Mytilus edulis: one gene and its partner. The protein of the gene in region 1 interacts with the protein of each later gene in a pairwise test. Links are inferred from orthologs where the notes say so. Each region holds a gene or a part of one and is shown in the gene's direction. Other genes may lie near its edges.

The links.
Region 2: the proteins of phytanoyl-CoA dioxygenase, peroxisomal-like (region 1) and peroxisomal targeting signal 2 receptor-like interact in a two-hybrid assay, tested with the Homo sapiens proteins (2 studies listed by BioGRID, with this or other methods). The link is inferred for Mytilus edulis from reciprocal best matches to the Homo sapiens genes PHYH and PEX7.

What each region holds. Positions count from the first base shown.
Region 1 is NC_092346.1:5,365,051-5,374,634, forward strand, and holds phytanoyl-CoA dioxygenase, peroxisomal-like, read left to right. Parts: upstream 1-5,416; 5' UTR 5,417-5,485; coding exon 5,486-6,469; 3' UTR 6,470-7,634; downstream 7,635-9,584. UniProt on the Homo sapiens protein: Catalyzes the 2-hydroxylation of not only racemic phytanoyl-CoA and the isomers of 3-methylhexadecanoyl-CoA, but also a variety of other mono-branched 3-methylacyl-CoA esters (with a chain length of at least seven carbon atoms) and straight-chain acyl-CoA esters (with a chain length longer than four carbon atoms).
Region 2 is NC_092353.1:34,378,241-34,388,332, forward strand, and holds the start of peroxisomal targeting signal 2 receptor-like, read left to right. Parts: upstream 1-5,474; 5' UTR 5,475-5,547; coding exon 5,548-5,650; intron 5,651-6,937; coding exon 6,938-7,110; intron 7,111-7,915; coding exon 7,916-7,951; intron 7,952-10,028; coding exon 10,029-10,092. Other genes in the region: serine-rich adhesin for platelets-like, read right to left, coding at 227-397, 5,140-5,194. UniProt on the Homo sapiens protein: Receptor required for the peroxisomal import of proteins containing a C-terminal PTS2-type peroxisomal targeting signal. Specifically binds to cargo proteins containing a PTS2 peroxisomal targeting signal in the cytosol.

The sequences.
Region 1 (9,584 bases):
TTATTATTGCAAAAAATTCAACACAATTGTAAACGCAATAATTTAAACTCGCATTTTGAAAATTTATATGAATTAAACTGGACGTTTCTCATAATCGTAAAAATAACCAGATGCTCCGCAGGGTGCAGCTTTATACGACCGCAGAGTTCGAATCCTGAACAGTTGTGGCAAATATGGACACAACATTCAAGCTTGATACAGCTCTGAATTTGGATTGTGATTGAATAGTTGACACAACATAGGTTTCTGACACAGAATGAATGTGGTCAAAGAACTTAAACTTAAAAACTTAAAAGTTTTGAATTGGACATTGGACATTTACCTATTATGGTCCAATATTCAAAATCTAAATACATGGTTAGATTCAGCATATCAACGAACCCCAAGAATTCAATTTAGATGAAATCAAGTAAAGTTAAATTTTGGACCCTTTAAACCTCAATGTGGACCAATTTGATAACCGGGCCCAAATATCAATAATCTAAATACATGTTTGTCCCTTTGGCACATTCCCCATTTCCATTCTCAATTTGATTAGATTCAGCATATATATCAAAGAACTCCATATATTCAATTTTTGTTGAAATCAAACAAAGTTTATTTTGGACCCCGATTTGGTCCAACTTGAAAACTGGGCCTATAATCAAAAACCTAAATACATGTTTAGATTCAGCATATCAAAGAACCCCTAGGATTCAATTTTTGTTGATATCAAACAAAATTTAATTTTCGACCGCGATTTGGACCAACTTGAAAACTGGCCCCATAAGCAAAAATCTTACTACATGTTTAGGGACGACATCAAAAGATCGATGTAGGATAAAAAATAGTTTGGGGGGTGGGGGGGGGGTTAAAATTCTACAAGTTTTGTATATCTAAAATCGATTTTCACATATATCCCTTTTGGTAAATCAATTTTTCCCAAATTAAGTTAAGAGGGGGGGGGGGGGGGGGGGGGGGGGTTGTGAAAAAAACTATGTGAATTAAGTTTTTTATCCTACATTGAACTTTTGATGTCGTCCCTTAGACTCAGCATATCAAAAAACCCAAGGATTCAATTTTTGTTGAAATCAAACAAAGTTTAATTTGGGATCCCGATTTGGATCAACTTGAAAACTGGGCCCATAATCAAAAATCTAAGTACATGTTTAGATTCAGCATATCAAAGAACCCCAAGAATTCAATTTTAGTTGAAATCAAACAAAATTTAATTTTGGACCCCGATTTGGACTAACTTGAAAACTGGGCCCATAATCAAAAATCTAAGTACATCTTTAGATTTAATATCAGAGAACCCCAAGAATTCAATTTTTGCTAAAATCAAACTTAGTTTAATTTTGGACCCTTTGGACTTTAATGTAGACCAATTTGAAAACGGGATCAAAAATTAAGAATCTACATACACAGTTAGATTTGGCATATCAAAGAACCCAAATCATTCAATTTTTGATGATATCAAACAAAGTTAATTTTTGGACCCTTTGGGCCCCTAATTCCTAAACAGTTGGGACCAAAACTCCCAAAATCAATCCCAAACCTTCCTTTTATGGTCATAAACCTTGTGTTTAAATTTCATAGATTTCTATTTACTTATACTAAAGTTATGGTGCGAAAACCAGAAAAATGCTTATTTGGGCCCCTTTTTGGCCCATAATTCCTAAACTGTTGGGACTTAAACTCCCAAAATCAATCCCAACCTTCCTTTTTATTTTCGAAAACTCTTGCGACAAATTCAACACTTGCCAGACAGAACTGCAAACGTAGCTTCACATCTTCTTCTTGGACGGATTACCATTGAATCAGAAATACATAAACGAATTCTGAAAACTTTTGGAAATATCATAAGAAATGAAAACTCAATTGAAAGAAAATTAGCCATCAGACAGCTAGCAACAAAATCTCTACAATCTGGTAGCTGGTTTACAAAAACTGTTGAAATTGCCAATATATATGACCTACCGTCGCCATATGATATTATAGATAACCCACCCGGGAAACAACTTTGGAAAAACCTGGTAAATAAAACAGTCGGTGATCACTGTATAAAACAAATGATAACTCGAATGAAGCAAAATCAAAATCTACTCTGGCTCGCCTAAATTACGAAAATGTCAAAGAAGAGAAAATACATAACATTTGAAAAAACTGTGGCACTAATCCATATGCCATCACATCTGCCTCCTTTAAGGCAAAGTTAGCAACAGGGACAATATACCTGTAATATCATCGAGCTAAATTTAGCAATGGACATATATGTGTCGCCTATTGGCCAGTTATGTGCAGAGGAAGAAGAAGATATAAAATTGAGAATGGAAATGGGGAATGTGCCAAAGAGACAACAACCCGACCATAGAAAAAAACAACACCAGAAAGTCACCAACAGGTCTTCAATGTAGCGAGAAATTCCCGCACTCGGAGGCGTCCTTCAACTGGCCCCTAAACAAATATATACTAGTTCAGTGATAATGAACGCCATACTAATTTCCAAATTGTATACAAGAAACAAAAATTAAAATAATACAAGACTAACAAAGGCCAGAGGCTCCTGACTTGGGACAGGCGCAAACATTCGGCGGGGTTAAACATGTTTGTGAGATCTCAACCCTCCCCCTATACCTCTAGCCAATGTAGAAAAGTAAACGCATAACAATACGCACATTAAAATTCAGTTCAAGAGAAGTCCGAGTCTGATGTCAGAAGATGTAACCAAAGAAAATAAACAAAATGACAATAATACATAAATAACAACAGACTACTAGCAGTTAACTGACATGCCAGCTCCAGACTTCAATTAAACTGACTGAAAGATTATGATTTCATCATATGAACATCAGGCACAATCCTTCCCGTTAGGGGTTTAGGGAGCTACCATTTGATTTTTATGGGGGGCTAGGATGAAAAATTTTGTCCTGCATTTTTTTTTAGTTGTAATGTCTGTCCTGCCTTTTTATTTTTCACTCTATTCGGTCCTGCCTTTTTTTATTAGTTTATCCTGACTTTTTTTTACCTAAATTGTCATCCTGTCTTTTTTTTTGCAAAGTGTCTCATCCTGCCTTTTTTTTTTTTACTCAAAACTCCTGTCCTGCCTATTTTTTTCAAATTTCATCCTAGCCCCCCCATAAAAATCAAATGGTAGCTCCCTTAGTATCATACCATCATAACATATATGAGAAGAACATAACCCGTGTCATACTTCACTTCATATTAAAGTGCTCTAAGCTACAGTATATTAGAGATGATTTTCTACATATGATAGGCGAGGTATTGACAGAAAACCTAGAGGATCAGGATCTTATCCAAGAATTAATAACCAATGACGAACATTTGTGTCAGCTAGTTATTGACTGCTCAAAATTTAGATTTTTAAAATTAATGAGAATGCACAGATTAGAATAGAAACATTATCGAGAGGTCTGTGTCATCAACTATTCCAGCAACGGGCAATATTAATTGAACAGTGATTAAAAGCATGAAATACCGAACTGAAAAGAAGGGACATACCAAAAGATAGAACATTTAAGATAAAATAAGATAAGAAATTGTATTTCAAGTCGGGTTACATTAAATACAAACATAAGCTCTGTAGAGCTTTTTGCCGACATTAATAACAATAACAACACACATATTAAGATACATAAAACACACATATGAGACATACAAATTATGATAGCTATATTGCAAGTAAAAAGTTCATAAATAAAAAGCATAGCACATGCAAGCAAAACACTAAAACTGAAACATAAGCACATGCAAAGCAGAATGAAATAAATAAAGCAAACTAATTTCTATAAGCTACATGGAACAAACATTTAACACAAATAAAATAAAGGTATTAAGATCTGCAGGAGCCACACCTGCATGAGTTGCCATTCCAGTTGTTGATCATACTTTTAAACTGGTTTAGGTTTGTCTGTGCACGGATCGTGTCAGGCAACTCATTCCATAGTGTAGCTCCAGCATATCTTAATGAATGAAGGCCAAAATGTGTGGTTCTCACCTGTGGAATTTCAACAGTTTGTTGTTTTCTAAAAGTATAAGATACATTTTTAAAATTAATGATATCATGGAGATACACCGGTGATTCTTTATGTAATATTTTAAAAGTTTCTATTGCCATCATTCTTATGCGTCTTATTTTTAAAGAAGGTAAACCAGATTTTAACAACAGAGTTTCATAATCACTATCAAAATCTTCATATATGAACCTCAAGGCACGTTCTTGTATTTTTTTCATCTTTTTAGTATTACCCTCCCCACAAAAATGCCAAACCACAGGACAATAATTGAAATTAGACATAATATATGAATGATAAATAGTTAACCTTCCCAATTTAGATAGATGTTTTCCAATTCTTTTAAGAACATTTAACTGTCTTGATGCTTTTTTACAAATATCAGAGATATGAGTTTTAAACTTGAGTTGATAATCTATTGTCACCCCCAGGAGCTTTACCTCAGTGTCACATAAAATTTCATTTCCATCCAAATTGAATTTAATATTCCCACTTTTTGATTTATTCCCAACAGCAATAGCCTGAAATTTATCTGGATTAGCTTTCATTTTGTTATTAGCAAACCAATCAATTAAAACAGCACTTTCCTTTTCTAAAGATTTAACTAATCCATTTAGGTCTGGTCCTGAGTGTGACAATGTATTATCGTCTGCATAATTATACAGTTCATTTTCTTTCACAAAATTGAAAATGTCGTTTAGAAAAATATTAAAAAGCACAGGACCCAAAATCGAGCCCTGCGGTACACCTTTATAGATATTTTGCCAGGTACTAAAATATGCACCGACTTTTACACACTGTTTCCTATTTGATAAATAATTATCAATTAAATTAAGTGCCTCATTTGACAGGCCATATGCCTTCAATTTTAAAAGAAGTAAATTATGGGGTAAGCAGTCAAAGGCCTTAGAAAGGTCCATTAGCACAGCAGCCACATATAAATTTTGATCGACTGCTTTTTTCCAGTCCTCAATGACTTTTAGTAAGGCGGTGTTACAGCCATAGCCAGGTCTAAAAGCTGACAAGGAAGGATGAAATATTTTACTAAAATATTCTATTAGCTGTTGATATATGGCCCTTTCAAAGAATTTTGTTGTATAAAGTGTATTTACATTTTACCGTTTTTAATATGAAAGAAGCAACTTTTATATTTGAATGATGGATGACTTTTAACGCATACCAGAATAGTGTAAATATTGGTGATAGGGTCACATCCCCCAGAGGAGATAATTAATATCTCTTTGATAGTTTTAAAGGTTTTATCTTTTAAACATAATCTTGAGGATTTTAACCGTGAGTGATCATTACACCGATTCTAGGATTGGTGGTTCTCCTGACATAGGAGGGAGTTGCAGTACAGGTAAACAGGTAAACAGGTAAACAAATCAGGAAACAGACACGTATTGCTTTCGTTTTACAAACGTGCCAGTTGTTGACCTTGCACTGTTTATGTTCGAAGTCCAAAAAGAAAAATGGCAGCCCGACTGAAAACGCTTTTTGGTCACATTCAGGAACATAAGACCCCAACTGATGTCTCAACAGTCTTAACACATGCTAGTCCATACACCGGAATTTTTAAGTATACTCTGAATTCGCCAAGGTTGACAGAAAAACAGAGACAGTTTTATGAAGATAATGGGTATTTGGTCATTAAAAAACTTGTTCCTGAGTACAGCCTGCAGAAGTACAGAGAAAGATTTGAACAGATATGTAAAAAGGAAGTTGAAGTACCTGGTTTGACTATTATGAGAGACGTTGCCATTTCAAAAGATGAGTTTGTACCAGGACAAAAGGCAGTAACAAAAATCCAGAACTTTCAGTTAGATGAGGAGTTATTTGAGTATTGTAAATTGCCAGAGGTATTGGACTATGTGGAAGCTATTGTTGGAAGCAATATCAAGGCCATCCATACTATGCTGATTAACAAGCCGCCAGATCCAGGTAGGAAAACCTCCAGACATCCAATGCACCAGGATCTTCATTACTTCCCAATGAAACCAGCGGAGAAGATCGTCTGTTCCTGGACTGCAATGCAAAAAGTTAATCGTGAAAATGGTTGCTTAGTTGTGCTTCCTGGTACTCACAAGGGTACACTACTTCAGCATGATTATCCTGAATGGGAGGGTGGTGTAAATAAGATGTACCATGGTGTGAGAGATTATGATCCCAGCATGCCCCGTTCACATCTTGAGATGGAGGCTGGCGACACAGTTTTCTTCCATCCTCTATTAATACATGGATCAGGAATGAACAGGACAAAAGACTTTAGAAAGTCCATTTCATGCCACTATGCCAGCAGTGATATCGAATTTGCAGAACAAGATTCCCAGAGTGCAATATCTGAGGAAATACTTGATTTGATAGTTAAACAGTACAAGGTTCCCAGGGACAGCGTTAAATATGAGGACCTATGGAAAATCAAAAGCCGTACTGTTAAAGGACATTCCGATTGGTAATGTAACAGTTACATTTTCAAAAGTGTTAGTCTAAATTATTCTTGTGATGCATGTAGGTGTGACTTTAATTTTAGTTAACATATTTATTATTTGGACATCATATATTTATGATTTAGTTCTGATATACATGTACAAAAACTGTACACATATATATTCAAAATGACATTTGATTGACTGAAATAAAATAAATGACTTGAATTATATGCTAAATTGCTAGCTTGACTTTGATTCAAATATGTACAAAAAACAAAAAAATGATGTAGAGATTTTGTACATACATTGCATTTGTATGTAAATTTATTAATTTTTTCGTTGAAAATTTTAATTTATATTTGATCATTTGTATTACTATTTTTTATTATGTGATTATCATAATTATTTTGAAATGTTTTTAGTGTAAATGATAATAATATTGAAATTTATTTATTCTGCATATTCTATGGTTCAATGAAGAAAAGTATAGTTTTTGTATTGATTGTTGAGCTTATAATATATAACAGTGTTTCAAAACCTTTTTGTTTGAACTAACATAAAATGCATGTTATGTAGCTTACTAATTTTGCGATTTTAATTTTCACTTAGAAATTTGATATTTGCAAACAAAGAATTTTTCTGTGGCGGCATCACCAGTTTGATATTTTTTATAAGTATTATAAAGAAGATTCAAAGGTAAAAAAAACCCGTATATTTTCAAGATGTAACCAATATCCCCCTCTTTTTAAAAGCATACAATACTATAGGTTTTATCATACAAATAAAGTGACTAAACAAACAAATCTTAATAGTATACATATGTTATATAAATAACAAATAACTCATGATTTTATAATAACAAATAGATTTATCAGTTATCATGTACATGTACATTGTATTATCAATAAATACATGTGTACAGGTACATTTTACTAAATTATTAACTGATACATTTTTCCTATAAAGTATGAATATAAAATGTGCAGTATCATCATGATTATAGGTAATTAAGGACGACCAGACTTAATTTTTATCTTTAATTTAAGCAGTATTGCTAAAATTCAACCTAAATATTTATAAATTTGACACATTGTATATTTGATTTACTATAGCCTGATGATTGACAAATGATTGAAATAATATGTTCCAATAGATTGCGATTCTTACATAATTTATTAAAAATTATTACTTTTGTTTGATTTCTATTTATTTCCATTCACCAATTTTGACAATGTTTGTATAAGGTGTCAAGCTGCTGTTGGAGACCTAGTCTTGAAACTGATGATAGAAATGAATCATAAGTAAAGAGCAGACATAGAATTTTTGTGTCATTGTCCAACATCTGTCTGTCCTTTCTTGTGTTTTAAGCGCTCTAACATGTAAAATGCAAGATATTTATGAAATTTAAATCAAAGGTTTAATTACATCAGCAATGTCTTGGACAAGTTCTGAAAATCAGTTCCAAGTAAACATTTTTAAATGAGATATGCCCATTGGAAATATTTAAATTATATGGAAAATTTAATTGTAATCGCTCTAAAGTCTACCTTTCTTGTAGGACCGAATGAATATACCAGTATATCAAAATTTTATGTCAGCAATATGTCTAAAATTTTGTATCTAAAGCACTCACTTGTATACAAGTCTGACCAGATTGTTTAGAAAATGCATATCAAAGGTTTACATGTATATCACCAATGATAGACAAAGTTGGAAAATCAAAGACAATGGCCACCAACTTGAACAATCAAATGGAAGATGGCACATAATTTGGATAGCATGGTCAATACATGACTGCAGAGAAGATTGTCTATTCCTGGACTGCCAGTGGCGAATCCAGAAATTTTCATAAGTGGGGGCCCACTGACTGACCTAAGAGGGGGCCCGCTCGAGTCACACTTCAGTGATTCCCTATATAAGCAACCAATTTTTTTTCCAAAAAGGGGGGGGGGGGCCAGGCCCCCTGCCCCCCCTAAATCCGCCTCTGACTGCAATGCAAAAAGTTAATCACGTTGCTTAGTTGTGCTCCCGGGTACTCACAGAAATCAACAGGTGTTGGTTAAATGATGCCTCTGAAGAAACTAGAAACAGCACTAACATCTTTAACAGGTTGCATGAAGTGTCATCATAACTTTTAATTGAAATCTACAGTCAACTAATTTTGAATTGTCTGAGAGGGAAAACTGACCTTCCATAATTTGGCTGCTCTGTTTTTACCCTGTTTTGTTTTCAATGATCTTAAATGTTCACCTATATGGTTCTTGTTAGTTTAAGACTTCTGAATACCTGCCAAAAAATATCATTGATCATACTTCTATCAAAGAGATTTGAAATCCTTTAAAATCAGACACTTAAATCAGAACAGACTGAAAGACCAAAATAAGAATGGACACCCACCAGTCATAGACACCAAAATCAAAACAGACATCCACAGGTCAAACACACCAAAATCAGAATAGACATTCATAGGTCAAACACACCAAAATCAGAATAGACACTCATAGGTCAAAGACACCAAAATCAGAACAGACTTTCACAAGTCAAAGACGCCAAAATCACAACAGACATCCACTGTAAAAAGATACATGTACCAATATCAGAATAGACATTTAAAGTTCAAAGACACCATTTGACTTGTTGATGTTTGTCTTAGACATGTGGATGTCTTTTCTGACTGGTTTCTTGATTTGTGGGTGTCTGTTTTGATTTTGGTGTCTTTGACCTGTGAATGTGTACTGTTTTTGATAACTATTTACACAACTGGGTCGATGCCACTTCTGGTGGACATTTAGTCCCCGAGGGTATCACCAGCCCAGTATAGTCAGCACTTCAGTGTTGACATGAATGTCATTTTTATAAATTTCCTGTTTAAAAAACTTTGATTTTTTTGAAAAACTAAGGATTTTCTTGTCCCAGGAATAGATTACCTTAGCCGTATTTGGCACAACTTTTTGGAATTTTGGATTCTCAATGCTCTTCAACTTTGTACTTGTTTGGCTTTATAACTATTTTGATATGAGCGTCACTGATGAGTCTTATGTAGATGAAACGTGCGTCTGGCGTATCAAATTATAATCCTGGTACTATTTGATGTCTTTGACCTGTGGATGTCTGTTTTGATTTTAGTCTTTGGCCTGTGAAT
Region 2 (10,092 bases), on another chromosome or scaffold:
CAATAAAATTTGTTTAGACATTATACATGTATTCTTGGTATTTTTGACATCGCTATTGCTCCGGCAAAAATAATCATGAATATAATGCCTACCCATGTTAAAACTACAATAAAATATAGCTTGCATCAATTATTTCTTAAATGTGAGAGGTTATTTTGTATGAAAATTTATATCTGTTTAATTATACATTTGTATGTTAATACTCATGTATACACACAGCACTTACCAACTAAATAAAACTGAGCAAATTTCTCAATAATTTGTATAAGAGTAAATCCACTTATCGTCAGAGGATAATGTCTTCCTCTCTTCATCAAGGCCACATACTCTTGTAGATGAATGCATTCTTTCACAAAAGTTTTATATGTAGATGTGTATCCTTCACTTTCCAGAAAACCTACAAAAAATAACATTACTTTAACATGTTTAATGCCTGTCTGGTTTTAAGCATTAGCATTCAAATGTTAATGCATACGTGGCTTTACTTGAGAAAGATTGGAATGAGAGTCATACATGTAATGACTGTGTATGGCATGATTTTTAGGAATAAAACAAAAATAATAGGTGTGTTTCTGGTTGCATGCCACCAAAAAATAGCATCAGGTCATGATTTTTTTTTTCATCTCTTCAAGTTTTATTTTTAAAATTTGTTCAAATGTTTTTGAGTTTGAAACTTTTTATTTCAGGTTTATAGTTGCCAAGAGGCCAAATTGTCACTGTACTTTCAAACCTACCCAACTCATACATTCTACAAAAAATCTACTTTAAAAACATCTAGTTACAGTAGAATAGAAATTCTAAATTATGAATGAACATGATAAATGAAGATAAGTATTACATGTATAAGCATGATAACTTAAGGTGGAATATAAAAATCAACGTAAATAAAAAAGAATATATTAAAACAGGAGTATACATTTACAGAGTGTTTACTATATATAAAGTTGTATTAATATAATTGACAAGATTTAGGGTGAACATGGTGAATAACACTTTCAACAATACAACATGCTCAAGTCTTCTTAAATCATTGAACCTTTTCCGGGAGTGTTCCTGTATCCCTTTCTGTGCTTTACTACATGTATAAGTTATCTACGTTCATATCCGTAGATATGGATATTTTAACACCCTGAAGTACCCCAGTACACCTTGAGGCGTAGCCGAAGGGTGTACAGGGTACTGAAGGGTGTTATAGCCGAAGGGTGTACAGGGTACTGAAGGGTGTTAAAATATCCATATCTATGGATATGAACGTAGATAACGAATTTATCCCCGGTCTTAGTCCGAATCGGGCGAGTTTTATGGAAATTCGGGTACAAAGTGTAACGCGAAAATAACGGTTTTTTCATTATCTAAAAAAGTTTTATTGAAATTTGGAAATTTTACATATTTTTTACGGGGTGTAGGGTACTACCTTTGGTAGAACCCTACAGGTAGTCAAATATAAGACGTTTTTAATAGAGAGACAGAGAAACTGGATTGAGTCAAATATGGCGCTCTATGTTGTGAGCGTTACGCCATACAGTACACACAGAGAGGATGTAATCTCATACTCCCAACACTGATTCTGGTGTAACACAGTGTCACACTGTGAAACACAGATTCCCCTCCCGAAAAACACCAAGTAATTTCTCCCATCTGGGAGGGTTTTATGACCTGTTGATTGCAGGTAAAAGTAATAAAAATCAACAAAGCATGACTGCATGGTCTGACAGTGACATAAAACTAAATGTCAACTATTCTCTCACTTCTTCCTATTTCAATCATTTCCTATTTAGTTTTATTTCTGAAAGCTATAAAAAAAAGGTTAATGAAATGATTTTTAAAAGTTATATCCAAAAGTATTTTTAGATTGGAAAATTATTTACATTCTTTCATAATCTCATAATTAAGAATGTCAACTTGATATTTACAATAAGTTGTATTTATACAGTTAGTTTAAACATGTAGATATTAAAATATATACATGGTTTAAAAAATAATAGTAATACTAATGAGACAAAAAAAATGAATAAAATAAAATAATGTAGATAAATTTCATACATCTTCATTTATTATTTAATTTTATAAAAAAAAATTGAATAAATTTAATTAAAATATTATGTCTTTATTTTCTATTAATTATACTCAACTTACACTACAGGTGATGTTTTGTTTGTTTTAATTATGTTTCTTAGGTATGAAAAACCAACACTGTCCAAACAAATGCTGAGTATGTTATTAATAAAAAAAAAGTTGTGCAGGATTCTTTAATAAAATCAGATTATAATATATCTCTGATTAAATTTAACAAATCTCACACTTTTCATCATTTTTGTGACTGTCATTTAATGACAGGAAACACAAGAAATGTTTATTGTAGTTATCAACTCCTTGCACACTTCAAAGGTGAACATAGCAATAAAAATCATGGTGTTGGGAGAAACCACACCAAGGTAATAAACAATTAAGGAGTTTTAGGGAGGAATTACTCCAAGTTTCTCCCAATTTCCTCCCAAGATTTGGAGAGTGTTGCTGGAGTTTCCTGGTGTGACACCAAGTTTTTACACAGTGTAGGGAGTATGCAATTACATCCTCTCTGTGTGTACTGTAGACAGGCCATTCATTAGGAGGCGGTACCCGGTACTTTTACCCTCCTATGCTATTGACAAGTACCGCCTAAATGTAGAAATTTTTATATAAGATATTCATGGAATAAATTGAAAAGTACCACCTAGAAACGTGGAAAGTACCAGTCAACATGAAAGATAATGAAACCCCTGCAGTGACTGTGTAGATAGTGTGACGTCAACGTGGGTAATTTGCATAGCTAGGTCAGTAGTCCCATTCCTTGAAAATATGGCAGTCAAGTGATGCATTTAATGAAATGAGTGTAAATGATCGGCATAATAGGACAAACTCGTTAATTAATTAAATATTTAATTACATACATCATGGATAATCTACAGACTTCAATTTTCACAAGGAGCAATCATGGAACTAAGGAAAACTTGCGTGAAGTTCCCCGGGATAATGGTTAGCAACGTCCGGGGATATGGGTTAGCAACACCCAGGGGCTATGGGTTTTGTAACGACGTGCGTTAACCAATCAAAATCCTAGATATATACTAAGCCGGGGATAAAACTTTATATACATTTGTAGAGCACAGAAAGGTTTCACCACAGAACTCCAGATAAGCTGCATATTTGCGTGATTATGCAATAAAAATAATTGAAAACCCAATGCAAATGCCCATAGCAGTGTTCTAAAACCCAATTCATGCAAAGGAAAACCCAATAATTTGTCAAAACCATGAGTTCTTAACGCTTTTATTCACTATTGTATGCGTTATTTACCCTTATCTATTACGTAGTCGTCGCATAAATCTATTTTTGTAATATTGAAATCGGATTATCGGAAATGTACTTTCGTTCTAAAAATAGAGCATTGAAAGGGTCCCTGTTGAAATGTTCCGTTGCTTAAAGGTACACGTGGTGATGAAAACATTTCGATCTTCTCTGTCTTTATCCAATAAGCGTTTGTCATGTCGTCATAATTCTTTTCGTATTGCTCGGGATTTAATATTACACTTAGCAATGAATTAAAACGAAAGTAAATTTCCAGTAAAAATATTGAATAAAAGCATGTTTTTTGCTACTTTTGGAGAGCGGAGGAATTATGATGATAAAAAGACTCAGCTAGTTTAATCAGGAAGCCTCCCTTGAACGCACGGGGTAGTGCAATGGCGTGTCCAGGGAATGTTTGCGTGTCTTAACAAGAAAAGGGTTAGAACTCGTCAGAACTCGTCAGAACTAAACCAGTTGGAACATGAAAGGCCAAAGCACTTATATGAAGTCAGCATCGGAAACCAAAAGTTCTAATAAGGGACAAGAAAACCCAGATTTATGTTAAGATTAAACAAAAACACTGTTTATTTTTAGTTCAAGAGTATATATAATATCTATTTCATTTTAGTGAACACACATATACATGTATTAGTTTTGATGTAAATGTAGCTTGCCATTTTTTTTGTTTTAGGTCTATTGTTCTGCATGCCCAAGATACATGTAGTTGTCTTTTTGGCAAGTGCAGTACAGCACTTTTAAAATGTTCACAAATAATACATAAAAATCTAAAAACTATTAGCCACACCTACAAATAAACTGAATGGTGATCATATGTACTCTAGAAAGGTAATTAGGTACTGTCCTATTAGTGTCACCAGTAAATATAAGTTATGGAAAATACAAAACTTTATGTTGAAACCAGACACAAATTAAACGTACAATTGCTCGTCAGTACATGTATATAAACCAAATAAAACAGCTATCACATAGAAAAATTTTTGAACCAAACTCGGTACATTTTGACGGACCTGAATTTCCGGATAATGTAAAACAAAGGTTCCGGAAATTCGGGTCTGTCAAATTTTACCGAGTTTGGTGTAAAACTTATTTTATAATCTCCTAAAAATAAATCAGATAATCGTTTTAAAAAATGCAGTCGACATGTTCCCGCCTTGGATGGAATTGTTACTTATATTATTATTTCTGTAGGGATTAATTATATATATATAATTGGAAATATTTTGCACAAACAAACACATAAAAGGTAAGAATTTTTATATATGCAATTTTTTTAGCCTTCAATGAAAATTTGATGTCCAAATTGGATCTCAAAGTTGAGAGCAAAATATGCTCTCAAAGTCCAACCGAAAATGGCGGCTTCAGCATTATGACGTCGAAGTAAGGTATCAAAGAAGAAAAATATAATAGCCTTTCAAGACGTCATAATTATTTGGACTAGTATAAGTTATACCATATTTATATTTGTAAACTCAAATGCAGGGCAGCCACACTTTTATGCTATTTGATGGTTACAATTTTGGCAAAATCTCAAGCATTAATTTGTTTTCAAATTTCATTAAAACTTGGCAGTCTTCATCATGCTCATGGAAATCCAATTCAATTGCTGAAAAAATAACCTTCAGGTCTGACCTACCTCATGTAAAATTCAAGGGGACATATTTTCTTGGTTGTAAATTGCTTTAATGCGTTGCATCTTTTGTAACCTGAACAAAAATTATGTAAATTTGTTAAACATGTTAAAAAAATATCACGCAACTTATCAGGCCTTGTGTTTATGCTTATTTTACGCACCTAATACTAATCTTGCTATTTCAGAAGGAAGGAAATGCGAAGTTGTTGTGTCCATTCTCAATATTGTTTCAATACAACCTAGGATAAAAGATATTTGATACGCATTTTTGATGTAAACTGTAGCTGTCACTTGTAAAAATGGCGGGCAATGTTGTTCGCCGAATTATGGCAATGTCGCAAAACTCAGAGAAATTCGTTGTTTTACCTTTCTATGAATGAATATAATAGTCTCAGTATCAGTCTGTAATAATAGCAAAATATTAAGATATTTATTATTGAAGCTATTAGAAGATCCTTCATTTAAAAAATCCAGTTAATGTCGTAAAGTAATCTTCTATAATTTGAGGTCAATATCTAGGCCGAAAGATTTTTTTCCCGTAAATGTGAACTCTAGGTTAAAAAATGTAAATGTCACTTCAAATTAAAGGGAGGCACGGATATTCTGTAGAATTTTCTCCGTATTTTCAACATAGATTTGCATGTGCCTCATCACAATATTATGGAATTGCAGGCAAGCATTTTTTTTTAAAAAGGGGGATCAAGGATTTGTACACATGTATAGTGTCACTATACAAATCCTTGGGGGGATACATGGTGTGGCTCTTCTCCACGGTGTATAAAAGCCTTAACAGGATTCTACACGTACCTATACAGATACAGATGTGGGTGGTACATCACTAAAACCGTAAAAATTCTTGGCAAATGATGATACGTTAATTTTTGCTGTATTTTAAACACTCATAAAAGCTTAAATGTTTGTATTGTTATATGTTAACCGAATCAAAAAAAAAACTTTCGTAATGGTATTCGTTAAATGTAAACTTTCTTTAAGACGATAAAATCAACTATTTTTGATGAATCACGTTAAATTTTATCCCAACGATAATCTTTTCTTAAAACTTCTGACGAAACATGATAAGGATATTTAGACAAATCACTGTAAATTTTTAACCAATTTGACGCTAACGGTAGCAGAAAATGACTGACTGTTTGACAACTGACTGACGGTTAAGGGCATTCATAGTACCCTCATAATCATGATGATATATATTAGAGACACCAGAATACAAAAATAAAGTAAAAATTGTTCAGAGGTGTGCTCACTGTGCTGCTCGTTATGTATGTCACAAAGTTACACAAACTATACTGTTTGTGGGCGTAAATATTTTACATAAGGGTACTTTATGTGTCAACAGATTGACCTTAATTGGTCAGATTCAGGTGTTTGCTGTTCAACTCACTTTCATGTACCTATTAAAACCAGTAGCATGATAAGTCTTACATCCATGATAAAATATCTTCAATGGCCCTAACATTCTGAGCACAGCAATAATATTAAGTGGATTATGTTCAATATCACTTATATTAAAGTCATCCATACTTAAGACTCATTGCAATTCTCTTGGACAGTTACAAGTCATGCAAGTGGTAATTTTTTCCAAAAACAATATAAATACAATTGAAATTGTAGTGGCCTGCAAAACAGTTGAAACCTCTACAACATAAAATAACTTACTATATTTCAATGTACATATTTTGTTGAAACTTATTTTATTAAGGAAAACCAAATTTAAAAATGTATCCTTTTTGCATTTGGCAGTAATATGATAAACAATTCTATAAATAGTCATGATAGTAGGTTCCAGAAACAAGCTGTTTACTTATTTCAACATTTTTGAAATATTTGCTTTAAATATAAAAAGGGTATCAACTGAAGCCTGTATTGCTGCAGAGGCATCTGTGTTCCCCCTTTTAGCTATCATTTTTTATTTTTCATTTTCTCCTGTCTAAATTTCAGGGAATGGTACACTCTTTATCATAGACCAGACCCCCAATGGACTGGTCCCTACTGTTGTATTTGACTGGAATGATGGACTGTTTGATGTGACCTGGGCAGAGAATAATGAAAATGTACTTGTAACTGCATCTGGTGATGGTGGAATTGTTGTGTGGGATGCTTCACAACCCAGAGTAAGTTTAGATTTGTCATCATGTACATGGCATTATTGAAACATAAAAATAGAATTCTTTAATTCATTACCAAAAGCAATTATTGATATATATCGATAGTTGTTAAATTCCCATACCTGCCAACTGTCACTATTTGTGGGGGATTTCCCCCATGGAGGCTCCCAAATTGTAATTTTGAAAGAGCTTTTTTGTCCACAATTTTAAACAAAACAATTAATTTTACAATGACATTAGGCTTATAAAAGTATTAAGAAGCCAAAAAAACAACATTAACAAATGATTAAAATGTATTTGTAGCCCCCCTTGAAGGTATTTTAGGATTATGGCAGCCATCTTGCACGCAAAACCCCCATGGGCATTTTGAAAAGTTGGCAGGTATGAATTCCTGCATGTAATGAATTTACAATGTACATTGTTCAATGTTTTAAGCTCTTTATTTCTAATTAAGGTATCCAAAGGCCAAGGGACACTATAATGGCAACACTACACAATGCCTTCTCGTTTATAACTCATTTACATACATGGCATATAAACATGTACAAATTAACCCACATGGTTGTGGTATAAAAACGTTTGAAACATGAACAAACTTAAAGGGAGAAAAACATTGATTTAGACAAATGTACGTAGTACAGTCAGGGTAACAACTGAGCACAAATGTTTGAACAACCTGCTAATTGATTTTTTTCTAGTAGTGTATTTTGCTAAATTTAATTGGTATCAATTTCTACCATACATTTTTCTATATATACTTTAATCAGATCATTATTAAACTGGATATATTAAAGATTTTTTTTCTTTACAGGGTCCTATCAAGGCATATAAAGAACATTCAAAAGAGGTACAGTTAGTTACAAAGGTTATAGATTTTAATGAAATAAGCCAACAAAAATGATCAGAAATTATGTACATAAAATTATAAAAAACAGAAATGTCAAGATATAAATAAAATCAGATCTGCTCTAATCATCATTAAAAACAAATAAAGATCATGTTGATCCCCATAAGATTTTCTACAAACATAGGAAATGATAGCAAGGGAAATTTGCAATAGTTAATTGCCACTGTACAATACATGTACAATACATGTATAATATCAGCAACTGAGCTGCCAAAGATTCAAAGATTCAAAAGTTTTATTATCCTCAGACACAACAGTGTACAAGAGGTCAATATACATACATACATAGATAGACGAAATATCTATACAGTAATTACAATACAATTATGATAAACATGTATATGTTACAGTAAATAGGTGAAATTAGGAATTACACGTAATTACTAAACATTTCAGTAAATACCTGTAATCACTAGTCAATTTAGTAATTACATGTATTTACTAGTTGTTTCAGTTATTACAGGTATTTACTGATTTTTTTTGTCATTTTTACAGCTATTTACTAACTTGATATTTTTGTTTAAAAATTAAAGACATAATTCAAGATATCAAATAAGAAAGTAAGGGGTAGGGATTTGTAGGGCTTACTTAAGGATCAAGGATTATAAGGCACATTAAAAGTGCATACTCTTCAGTATTTGTGAATTGAAACTGGAAAATGGTTGTTTTATAAGTTTTGAAACTCCCTAAAAATCATTTTGAGCATGCAAGACAATGATACCAATCCAAAATTGAGAAAAACATTTTTGAGAATTGTATAGGCAACTTAGGCAGCTATTTTTTAAGATAGACATTAGATTATGGCAAACTTGGTTAAATGATCTTGATAATTCTTAAAATCTCATAATTTTGTTATATTAAAATCTCCATCAGAATGATCAGGCATACTCTGCATATCAACTTGGCCAATAACATGAGTTAAATTCCTTTTACAACATAGGTTTAACTACGACTTCTTTTTTCAGACATTTGTGATGAAGCTGACATTCTTCACAAACAAATTTACACAAATTGATGGCGTTAAGAGTCACATTTTCATATTTCCGTGTTTTTATGAGTTCTTCAAGGCCTCCAAACTAAAGCTTATATACCTCCAACAAAATTTTATCATCGTTTCTTCCTGTATAAGAATGATCTTTTTGTGGATTGAAAAAGTCACCTAAATGGTCCATCCCTTTTGTTTTACTTTCAATGTTGACATTCTTTTCCTTTTCGTCTAGCCTGCGTTTTTTGTCGCAAAAGTGAGACATAGCCAACCAACCTAATAATTTCGTCGCCAGAGGCGTCCACAAATATTCGCTCTGTGGTTATATTTTTTAAATTTTGATAAGTTTCTCAAATCATCCTGGATTTCTACGAAACTTGAACAGAAGCTTCAGTTGTTTATGATCAAAAGATAAATTTTAAAAAGTAAATTTTGTAAAAATAAAATCAAGTTTTTCCGTATTTTACTTATAAAGGGACTTAGTTTTTATCTCAGATAACATTACATTCACACTGTGGTTAAATTTTTAAAAATTTTAATAACTTTCTCAAAATATCCTGGATTTCTACCAAAATTGGACAGAAGCTTGTTTATGATCATCAGATAATATCTAGAAATAAAGTTTGTAAAAAAAAACTATACTTTTTCGTATATATTACTTATTTAAACAGACTATTTTTTTCCAGTTAACATAACATACACTCTGCAGTCTGCTAATTTCACCTATTTACTGTAACATATATATATATTCGCCATAATTGTTACATTGCTCACAATGAGAACATGAAAAACAATTTTTAGGAAATCCTAATATAGAAAGTAGTATGTCCTGTGAAGATGAAATAACATTCATGAAAAAGACATCATGTATGAAAGAGAAAATCATACACGAAAGAAAAATTGTACACAAAAGAAGAATTGTACACAAAAGAGAAATTGTACACAAAAGAGAAATCTGTACACAAAAGAGAAAATTAAACATGAAATAGTAAATTATACATGAAATGGTTAATCATACCTGATTATTTCTAGGTTTATTCAGTACATTGGAGTCAGACAAGAAATGAAAACTTTGTTTTAAGTGGCTCATGGGACA